2 linked regions of the Ovis aries genome follow. The main gene of each other region encodes a partner of the protein of the gene in region 2 in a complex. Links are inferred from orthologs where the notes say so. Each region holds a gene or a part of one and is shown on either strand. Other genes may lie near its edges.

The links.
Region 1: the proteins of HCN2 (region 2) and PEX5L are in contact, whole or in part, in a crystal structure (PDB 4EQF), measured with the Mus musculus proteins. The link is inferred for Ovis aries from reciprocal best matches to the Homo sapiens genes HCN2 and PEX5L. Residues at the interface, in NP_032252.1 of Mus musculus: Leu859, Ser860, Ser861, Asn862, Leu863; in NP_001156988.1 of Mus musculus: Glu315, Glu317, Val343, Asn347, His426, Asn453, Arg454, Ala457, Thr458, Ala460, Asn461, Tyr472, Arg484, Tyr487, Asn488, Ile491, Ile494, Ile537.

Annotation. Positions count from the first base shown.
Region 1 is NC_056054.1:207,989,637-207,993,452, reverse strand, and holds part of PEX5L (PEX5-related protein), read right to left. Parts: intron 410-3,816; coding exon 215-409; intron 1-214. UniProt on the Homo sapiens protein: Accessory subunit of hyperpolarization-activated cyclic nucleotide-gated (HCN) channels, regulating their cell-surface expression and cyclic nucleotide dependence.
Region 2 is NC_056058.1:40,904,029-40,907,844, reverse strand, and holds part of HCN2 (potassium/sodium hyperpolarization-activated cyclic nucleotide-gated channel 2), read right to left. Parts: coding exon 3,451-3,816; intron 2,490-3,450; coding exon 2,328-2,489; intron 1,110-2,327; coding exon 891-1,109; intron 1-890. UniProt on the Homo sapiens protein: Hyperpolarization-activated ion channel that is permeable to sodium and potassium ions. Displays lower selectivity for K(+) over Na(+) ions. Contributes to the native pacemaker currents in heart (If) and in neurons (Ih).

The sequences.
Region 1 (3,816 bases), on a different chromosome or scaffold from region 2:
AAAAACTCGATATACATGGGTTGTATAAGTAAACATATAAATCCACACCAGTTCTACAAAGTTGAGTTCCCCAACTGCTACTTAATCTAAGCTCAAAGTGTGTCCTGCCCACTTTCCTACATAGACATCAACTTTTCTACTGCTTTGCCCACAGTTTTCATGTCATCTGTAGAATGGCTTTGTATCAAGGCAGCAAACACAGCTATTGCCTTACTTAAGTCTAAGGATGCTGTCTCCGAGCCTCGGAGAGCCTGGCCTCTCTGCTCAGCATCTGCACTGATGAGGTCAGACCCATCAGCCTTTTTCTTGAGGGATGAGGTTTTTGATGAGGCCTCCAACTTCTTGGCTTTGGTTTGGGTTTGAGAGACAGGTTCACTCAAGTCAAGGAGATCTAAGCCTGTAGTCAATACTGTAAGAGAGAGAAGACATTAAGATAAGCTCACTCACTGCTCTGAAATTCTTTTTTAAAAATAAGCTTCATTTGGGTGCAGAAGGATTTTGTGTTTGCAGTATAGGTTAGAAGCACCAAATTAAGTTAGCTCACCATTGATTTATCAAGACGGTTTGCATTTAGACTGGGAAACTTGCTGCATGTTCTCTTTTATTTGGCATGGTAGAAATCTGCAGAATAAGGCTTAGACCAGTCGCACCAGTGATGAAAGTTTGAATGGAATTAAAGTGATAAAATTGAATCTGAGTTCAGGTACTATTTACTTGATTGCTTTGCTTTATTTATAAAGAGGTATATTTTAGAGTGAAGTTTTTTTCCCAGCATAGAGTCAATGTATCATATTCTGAGAGATGCTTGCAAAACAGTGATGAGGAAGATTTGGTAAAGTTTCTAAATGTCTTTGTATTTTAATTTCAAACTGCTAAAGTATCTAGGGCATAAATGAATGTTGCTAATCATCTTTTATTTAATTAAGCACTTTACTCAGAAAACGGCTTGATGTTTGGGCTCACACTAGAGAGGTATTTCATAATCCATAGTTGATGAATAGGTACACATGTTAATGCCTTTGCTGTTTAATATGCAAATTTAAATTTCAATGTGACAAACCATAAAATGGTTACACTTTTACTTCCCAGCAGGTTGATTACATTGTGTTAAATACTCTAATGAAGGCAGAAATAAGAATTTGTTCAAATGCAAACTAGGCAAATGAGAATTAAAAAGGCAAGCTATGTAACTTTTCATTCTTTCTCTTAAGTGCAAGTAACTGCTGTTTGACTAGCTCATTGTGAGAAATGGAAAATTCCTATTAGAAAAGGTACCTCCAGCTCTACTTCTCTTTTAGCCCCAGCATCCCAGAGTGGCTTCTCAACTGGCCTGATGGCTTCCTGACCTAGGATCTCTTTCCTGGCTAGCTTAGAAAAGCCACCAAAGTGGCAGGGACACTCCTTATGCTAACTCTTTCCAGCACTGTCTACAACAACCTCTGCACAGCTCCTTCTCCTCCTCTTTGATCTCTTGGTTTTTCCTCTTGGTAGGAAATGGATCTTTGTTGACATCTCAACACTCTTCCATCTATTTCCCCCTTGCATTCAATGCAGGGTCAGGGATTAATTTAGTTCACAACCAGGATTTCTTTAGTACTGAAGTGTTCTCATGAGCTAGCCATCATATGGGATCCTTAGGATAGGATGTAAAACTTTCTATAATCTTGCTTTCTGATTTCAAGTATATATCACAATGGTTGGGGTGTTAATGGTGAAGTGGAAAGACCAGACTCTGCCACTGCCTAGCTGTGTGACTTGGAGTAAGTTTATTGACATCTCTGAGTTTTAATGTCCTCACTTAAAACATGCAGAATTAAGTCTCTGCATTAGATATGATATGAAGATTAAATTATCTAATTTATAAATCAAATGTGTGAAGTGCCCAACATACTGCAAGTATTCAATAAATATTATTTCCATTCTTTGGTGGCCAATTTGTGATGCTTTTCTTTCCTTTTCCTTTATCTCCTGTTTCCCCCACTCCCCTCTGTTTTAGGCAAGAATCCTATCCATACACTGACAGAAACAGGAAAACACCCCTGGGAATAAAATGGCAGATGAGACAGGCTATTGGCTCTACAGAAGATGCTATAAAGTAAATTTATCATAAAATGGCCTGAAAGTGTCATCTCATGTGAGCTTATCTTGTCCCGGTCTTCCTGAGATAGGAGTCACTTTCCACAGTAAGATGCTCCGAGCCGTGGAGGAGTGTTCTGGCTGGCTTGGTGTCTAAAAGTTAAGCACGGCAAGCAGCCAGGGTAGGCTTGGATGCCACACATTTCATATCTTTTGAATGTTTAAATAGAAAATTCTAGGCCACTGTTAATGTTGGCAGGGATTCTAGGCCCACTGTGATTTCCTTCTAACAGAAGGAAGGAAGTGAATAACAGTCTCTGAAATGCCATATATGCCTTTTTACTAATTGCACAAACAAGAATTAGTCACTTTCTCCTACACTTCTTTTAGAAGAAAATTATATAGGACTTGTCTGCTTGTAGATAGGAAGTACATTTGTTACAGAATAATAACTGATGAGTATTAATTTAACTCTATATCTGTTTCTCACCATTCAGAATAAATGAATTACTCAGAGACTGAATTGCGAATTCAAACTTGGCTCAGTAACGTTCTTTTCCCCTCCAAGCTGTCCTCAGCACTTCCTGTGTTTGTTCTGAGGTCTCTGTTTCTTTGTTCTTTTCCTAGCAAATGTGAAACAACTGCTAGGCACACACAAAAGGCTTTATTTGTTCCTCAGTTGATGAAGGGGGTGCCTTGGAGGTTGAATGGCAAGCTTGAAGCAGAGAGAGTCCCTGAGGAACACAGTTTCAAAACCATAGAAGAATGTGTGCAGCCTTTCGCTTTCTGAAGAAAGACAAATCTCATTTTAGCGTGGGAGTATGTGAGTATGTGTGTGTATGTGTGTGGTGTGTACTTTAGTTAAGACAAAAATAAAGGGCATCCGATGTCACTGTTCCATATGGGCTTCATAGATAGCATACCTGGGTATGGAAGGGGGTGTCTGCTCTACTGATTTTCTCAATCTGATTTTAAATATTCTCTTAGGCACATGAAGGCTTGTGTTCCAGAATTTGTGTTTGAATTAAAATAATCACCTGATATATCGTGGAAGTGAAATTGTGTGTGTGTGTGTGTGTGTGTGTGTGTGTGTGTGTGTGTGTGTGTGAGAGAGAGAGAGAGAGAGACAAGGGGGAGAGACAGAGTGAGAGATAGTGGGAGAGTGAGTGAACAATAGCGGGAGAGAGAAAGAGAGTGAGAGAGGGAGAGAGTGAGAGATGGGGAGAGAGAGTGATGGAGAGAGACAGTGATGGAAATAGATATCTCCATCTATCTAAGAGATGAGGAGAGAGAGAGTGAGAGAGAGAGACAAGGGGGAGAGACAGAGTGAGAGATAGTGGGAGAGTGAGTGAACAATAGCGGGAGAGAGAAAGAGAGTGAGAGAGGGAGAGAGTGAGAGATGGGGACAGAGAGTAATGGAGAGAGACAGTGATGGAAATAGATATCTCCATCTATCTAAGAGATGAGGAGAGAGAGAGTGAGAGGTGAGGGCAAAGAGAGAGACAGCAAGAAACGGAGAGAGAGGTGGGGAGAGAGAGAAAGAGGGAGAGAGTGAGAGACAAGCAGAGAGAGTGAGAGATAGAAGGGGAGAGAGAGGGACACAGGAGGAGAGAGAGACAGGAGGAGAGAGAGAGAGAGAGAGAGGGAGACTAAGAGATGGTGGCAGTGGAGGGTGGAGAGAGAAGGAAACAGAAAGTGACTTGAAGATGCTATGCTGTTGGCTTCGGAGATGGAATATGG
Region 2 (3,816 bases):
CGACCCTTTGGTGGCCCCCTCCTCGATGATCTTTTTAGAAATTGCCAGCCCAGCCCCTCCTGAACAGGGCTGGGGGCAAGGGCACCAGTTAGGGGTGCCAGGCCCTACTGTCCCCAGGGTGGCACCCCCAGGGGAGCTCTGGCCCCGCTTCCGCCCTAGCCCCGCCCAGCCACAGCTGTCCTGAGCTCAGCGGAACCCGTGACGGCAGGCGGGTGGCGGCACCAGCTCGTGTTTGGGTGGGAGGCTGGTGGCTTCCGGACAGCCGGGGCGCCTGGCACCAGGCCCAGCTGACCCGGCCGACCTGACTGCTGGGCATTGCTGGGGTGAGGCAGCTACTGGGCCAAGGCTAGCCCTGGGGTAGTAGTACAGGGACAGTGGGGCAGGGTTTGGGGAACTGGGCCACCCTTGGCCTGAGGGAGGGGAAACTGAGGCAGAAGACTGAAGCTGACCTCCAGGAAGGGCTGGCCTATGGGGCCACATTGGACTGGCCCCAGGGAGGCCAAGTCCTAGGACATCCTTGCTTCCCAGAGGCCTCCCTTGTGTCCTTGAGCAACCCCAGCACCTCCACCCTTCCTGGGACAGCCCAGAGACACCCCTCACCAAGGGGTCTCCTGGCCCTGTCCTTTTTAGACCTCTTCTCCCTCCTTTTCCCTTCATCAGCCCCTATGTCCCCTCTAGACTTCTTCCTCAGAGTTCTGAGCTTTCTCACTGTCCTTCTGTGAGCTGCTCCCCCCACTGAGGGGGGGGTGGTCCAGTCCTGATCACAGTCACAGGCCCTTCTGAGGTCCCCATCCCCTCTACCCCTCTGGCCTCCATCCTGAGCACAACACATGGAGCTGGAGGGATGTGGGGTGGACCCCAGACCCTCGGGGGTTCCTCCCCCCTCAGACCTTCTCCTGGTACTGGCGCCTCGAGGAGTCCAGCGACTGGATGAGGGCGGTGGCGTGGCCAATGAACATGGCGTAGCAGGTGGCACCCACGATCATGCTCAGCATGGTCAGCCAGATGTCCGTCATGCTCTCTGGCGCCTGCCGCCCGTACCCGATGCACAGCATGTGGCTCATGGCCTTGAACAGCGCGAAGGAGTAGAGCTCGCTCCATGAGTGGTTCTGCAAGTCCAAGGGTGGGTGGTGGGCAGGGGCTCCCTGTCCCCAGGGAGCCCCTTGACCCGCCCCGCCCCAGGGCCCTGCCTGCCCACCCTTCCCCAGGCATCCGGCTCCCTGTGTCCAGAGTCAACCAAGAGAAACTAGATTTAGGCAGCCGACGTGATGTGCACACATGTTACAGCAACTCAGCAGAGGGCCAGCGTGAAGCCACCTCCCCACTTCATTCCTGGGGAAACAGGCTCCAAACAGCTAGAGTCCAGCCCTGGGTGTTCAAGAGCCCTCACTACTTCACAACCTCTGGTGAGTGTCTTTGAGGCCAAAGAATGGGGAAGTCCTGGGGACAGCGAGCTGGGGACACTGAAATCCTGATCAGAGGGGCGGGGTGGAAGAAGCATCAGACAGGATCAGGAAGAAACCCACCACCCCCGACCAGTCCTCAGTTGAACCAGCTAGGGGAGGGGCAGTGGGCCCTGTTCAGGAAACAGGACCACATGCCTGGGTGTCCGGCCAGACAATGAGCTGCCTCAGCCAGGCAGCTGTGCTAGGCGCTAGGCTGGGCGCCCAAGGGTTTTCCCTCCAGTGCTCCCGCCCATCAATGCCCACCTGCCCTGTGCCCCAAATGCACCCCAGCAGGAGAAAGGCTTGTTAACAGTCTCAGCCAGAAAGCAATAGGTGCTCCTGAATCTCCCAATTTATTACTTCTCAAGACCGTTGATGCTACTTTCCCATCTGAGGACTATGATAAAATTGTCATTTAAACACATGGGTGCAAATAAAATGGGCTTCCCAGGTGGTTCAGTGGGAAAGAGTCCGCCTGCCAATGCAGGAGATGCGGGTTCGATGCTTGGGTTTGGAAAATGCCCTTGAGGAAATGGCAACCCATTCCAGTATTCTTGCCTGGAGAATCCCATGGACAGAAGAGCCTGGTGGGCTGCACTCCAGGGGGTCGAAAAGAGACATGACTAAGCAATAGCATGCACATACATGCGTGCAAATAAAAGAGTGGAATGGATCACAGAATAGTAAGCAGATGACGTGATTTCTAAAGGGGAGAGGGGGACAAAAGCAGCTCTACTGCCCTCAAACGGCAACAGATCTCCATAGTTCTGGATCTGCAAGGCTCCAACTGGGACAGCAGCCCAGAGGAGTGCTCAGCACCAGAGGGGTTTTCAGGCGCCCTGTGCTCCAGGCACGCAAGAGGGACACGGGCGCGGGGCTCACCACCATGCCGTTGATGGAGACCCAGCAGTTGCGTGGGAAGTCCTGAAGCATGGGCACCAGGAACTGCAGGCAGCCATCCCAGTGGCAGAGGAGCAGCATCATGCTGATGAGGTTGCAGATGCGCATGACCGCACTCGCCAGGTCGTAGGTCATGTGGAAGATCTGTGGGCAGGGCAGGGCAGCTCATGTGAGCGTCCGGCAGACCCATGGTTACTTGTGTCCCAGCAGTGGGAAGACGCAGTCCCCCGTGAGGGGCAGCCCTTACTTCCTCGTAGCCCCCACTCCCCGTAGGCCTTTCAAGGTAGTGAAGTGCCCTAGACTAGAGAACATGGCCCCTTACCAGCCTGCCGCCCAGGCACCAAATCTCTGCCTGGCCGGCCATCCACTGTCCTCTCTGAGGACCACTGCCTCTTCCAGTGACCCAGTCCCCACCCGCTCCCCTGATGGCAGCCTGTCACCATCCTGGAAAGTGCTGGTGACTGAGCCTGTGTGGTGGCCATGGGCTGCAGAAGTCAGGTCACACGGAGTCCAGAAGTGGGTCTGAACTTGGGGGAGAGGGTCATGATTTCACTCCTTGGGGCCTCAGTTTCCCCACTGCCAACAGGGCTGTGGACTCTGCCTCTCACAGGGCAGAACGAAGGAAGGGCTGCAGATGTGTCAAGGATTCATGCAGTGCTTCCTGTGACCCCACTCCCCAGCAGGTAGGGGCTCCTGTGACCACGCCCCTAGCTCACCCAGGTTCCACCCCTAAGTTTCCAAGGACCCTCTATGCAGCTCCTGTAATTCCGCGCAGTGTACTCAGTGACACCGATACTCTTGTGTGTCTAATCCCGCCTGTCTTATTGTACGCCCCTGGACCCTGCAGCACCCCCTGCCAAGGGTCTCCCATCATGGCCCGGCCTTTTTGTTCCTGGTGCCACCTGTAGTCATCGCCTGGTCCCATCACCATAACAGCATCCTCACCCATCAGCACACCCTCGCCCATCACGACCCTGCCCCTACATCCCAGCCCAGTTCCAGCCCATTACGACCCCACTGACCCCACCCTGGCCTCTGTGCCCCAGCCCCACAAGCCCCGCTCACGCCCGTGGCCGCGCCCCTGCGCCCATGCGTAGCCGCTCACCTCCTCCCACTGATGGATGTAACGGATGAGGCGCGACAAGCGGAGCAGGCGCAACAGGCTGAGGATCTTGGTGAAGCGCACGATGCGCAGGGCGCGGGCCGTCTTGTAGACCTCAGAGTCGATGCCTTTCTCCACGATGAGGAAGATGTAGTCCACGGGGATGGAGGATACGAAGTCCACCACGAACCATGTCCGCAGGTACTTCTTCTTGATCTTCTCGGGGTCCAGGATGATCTCCGTGTTGTCCTCGATCACGATGCCCGTGCGGAAGTTCAGCACCAGGTCCATGAGGAAGAATGTGTCCGAGACAACGTTGAACACAATCCACGGGGCCGTGGTCTCGTCCTTGAAGAAGGTGATGCCCAC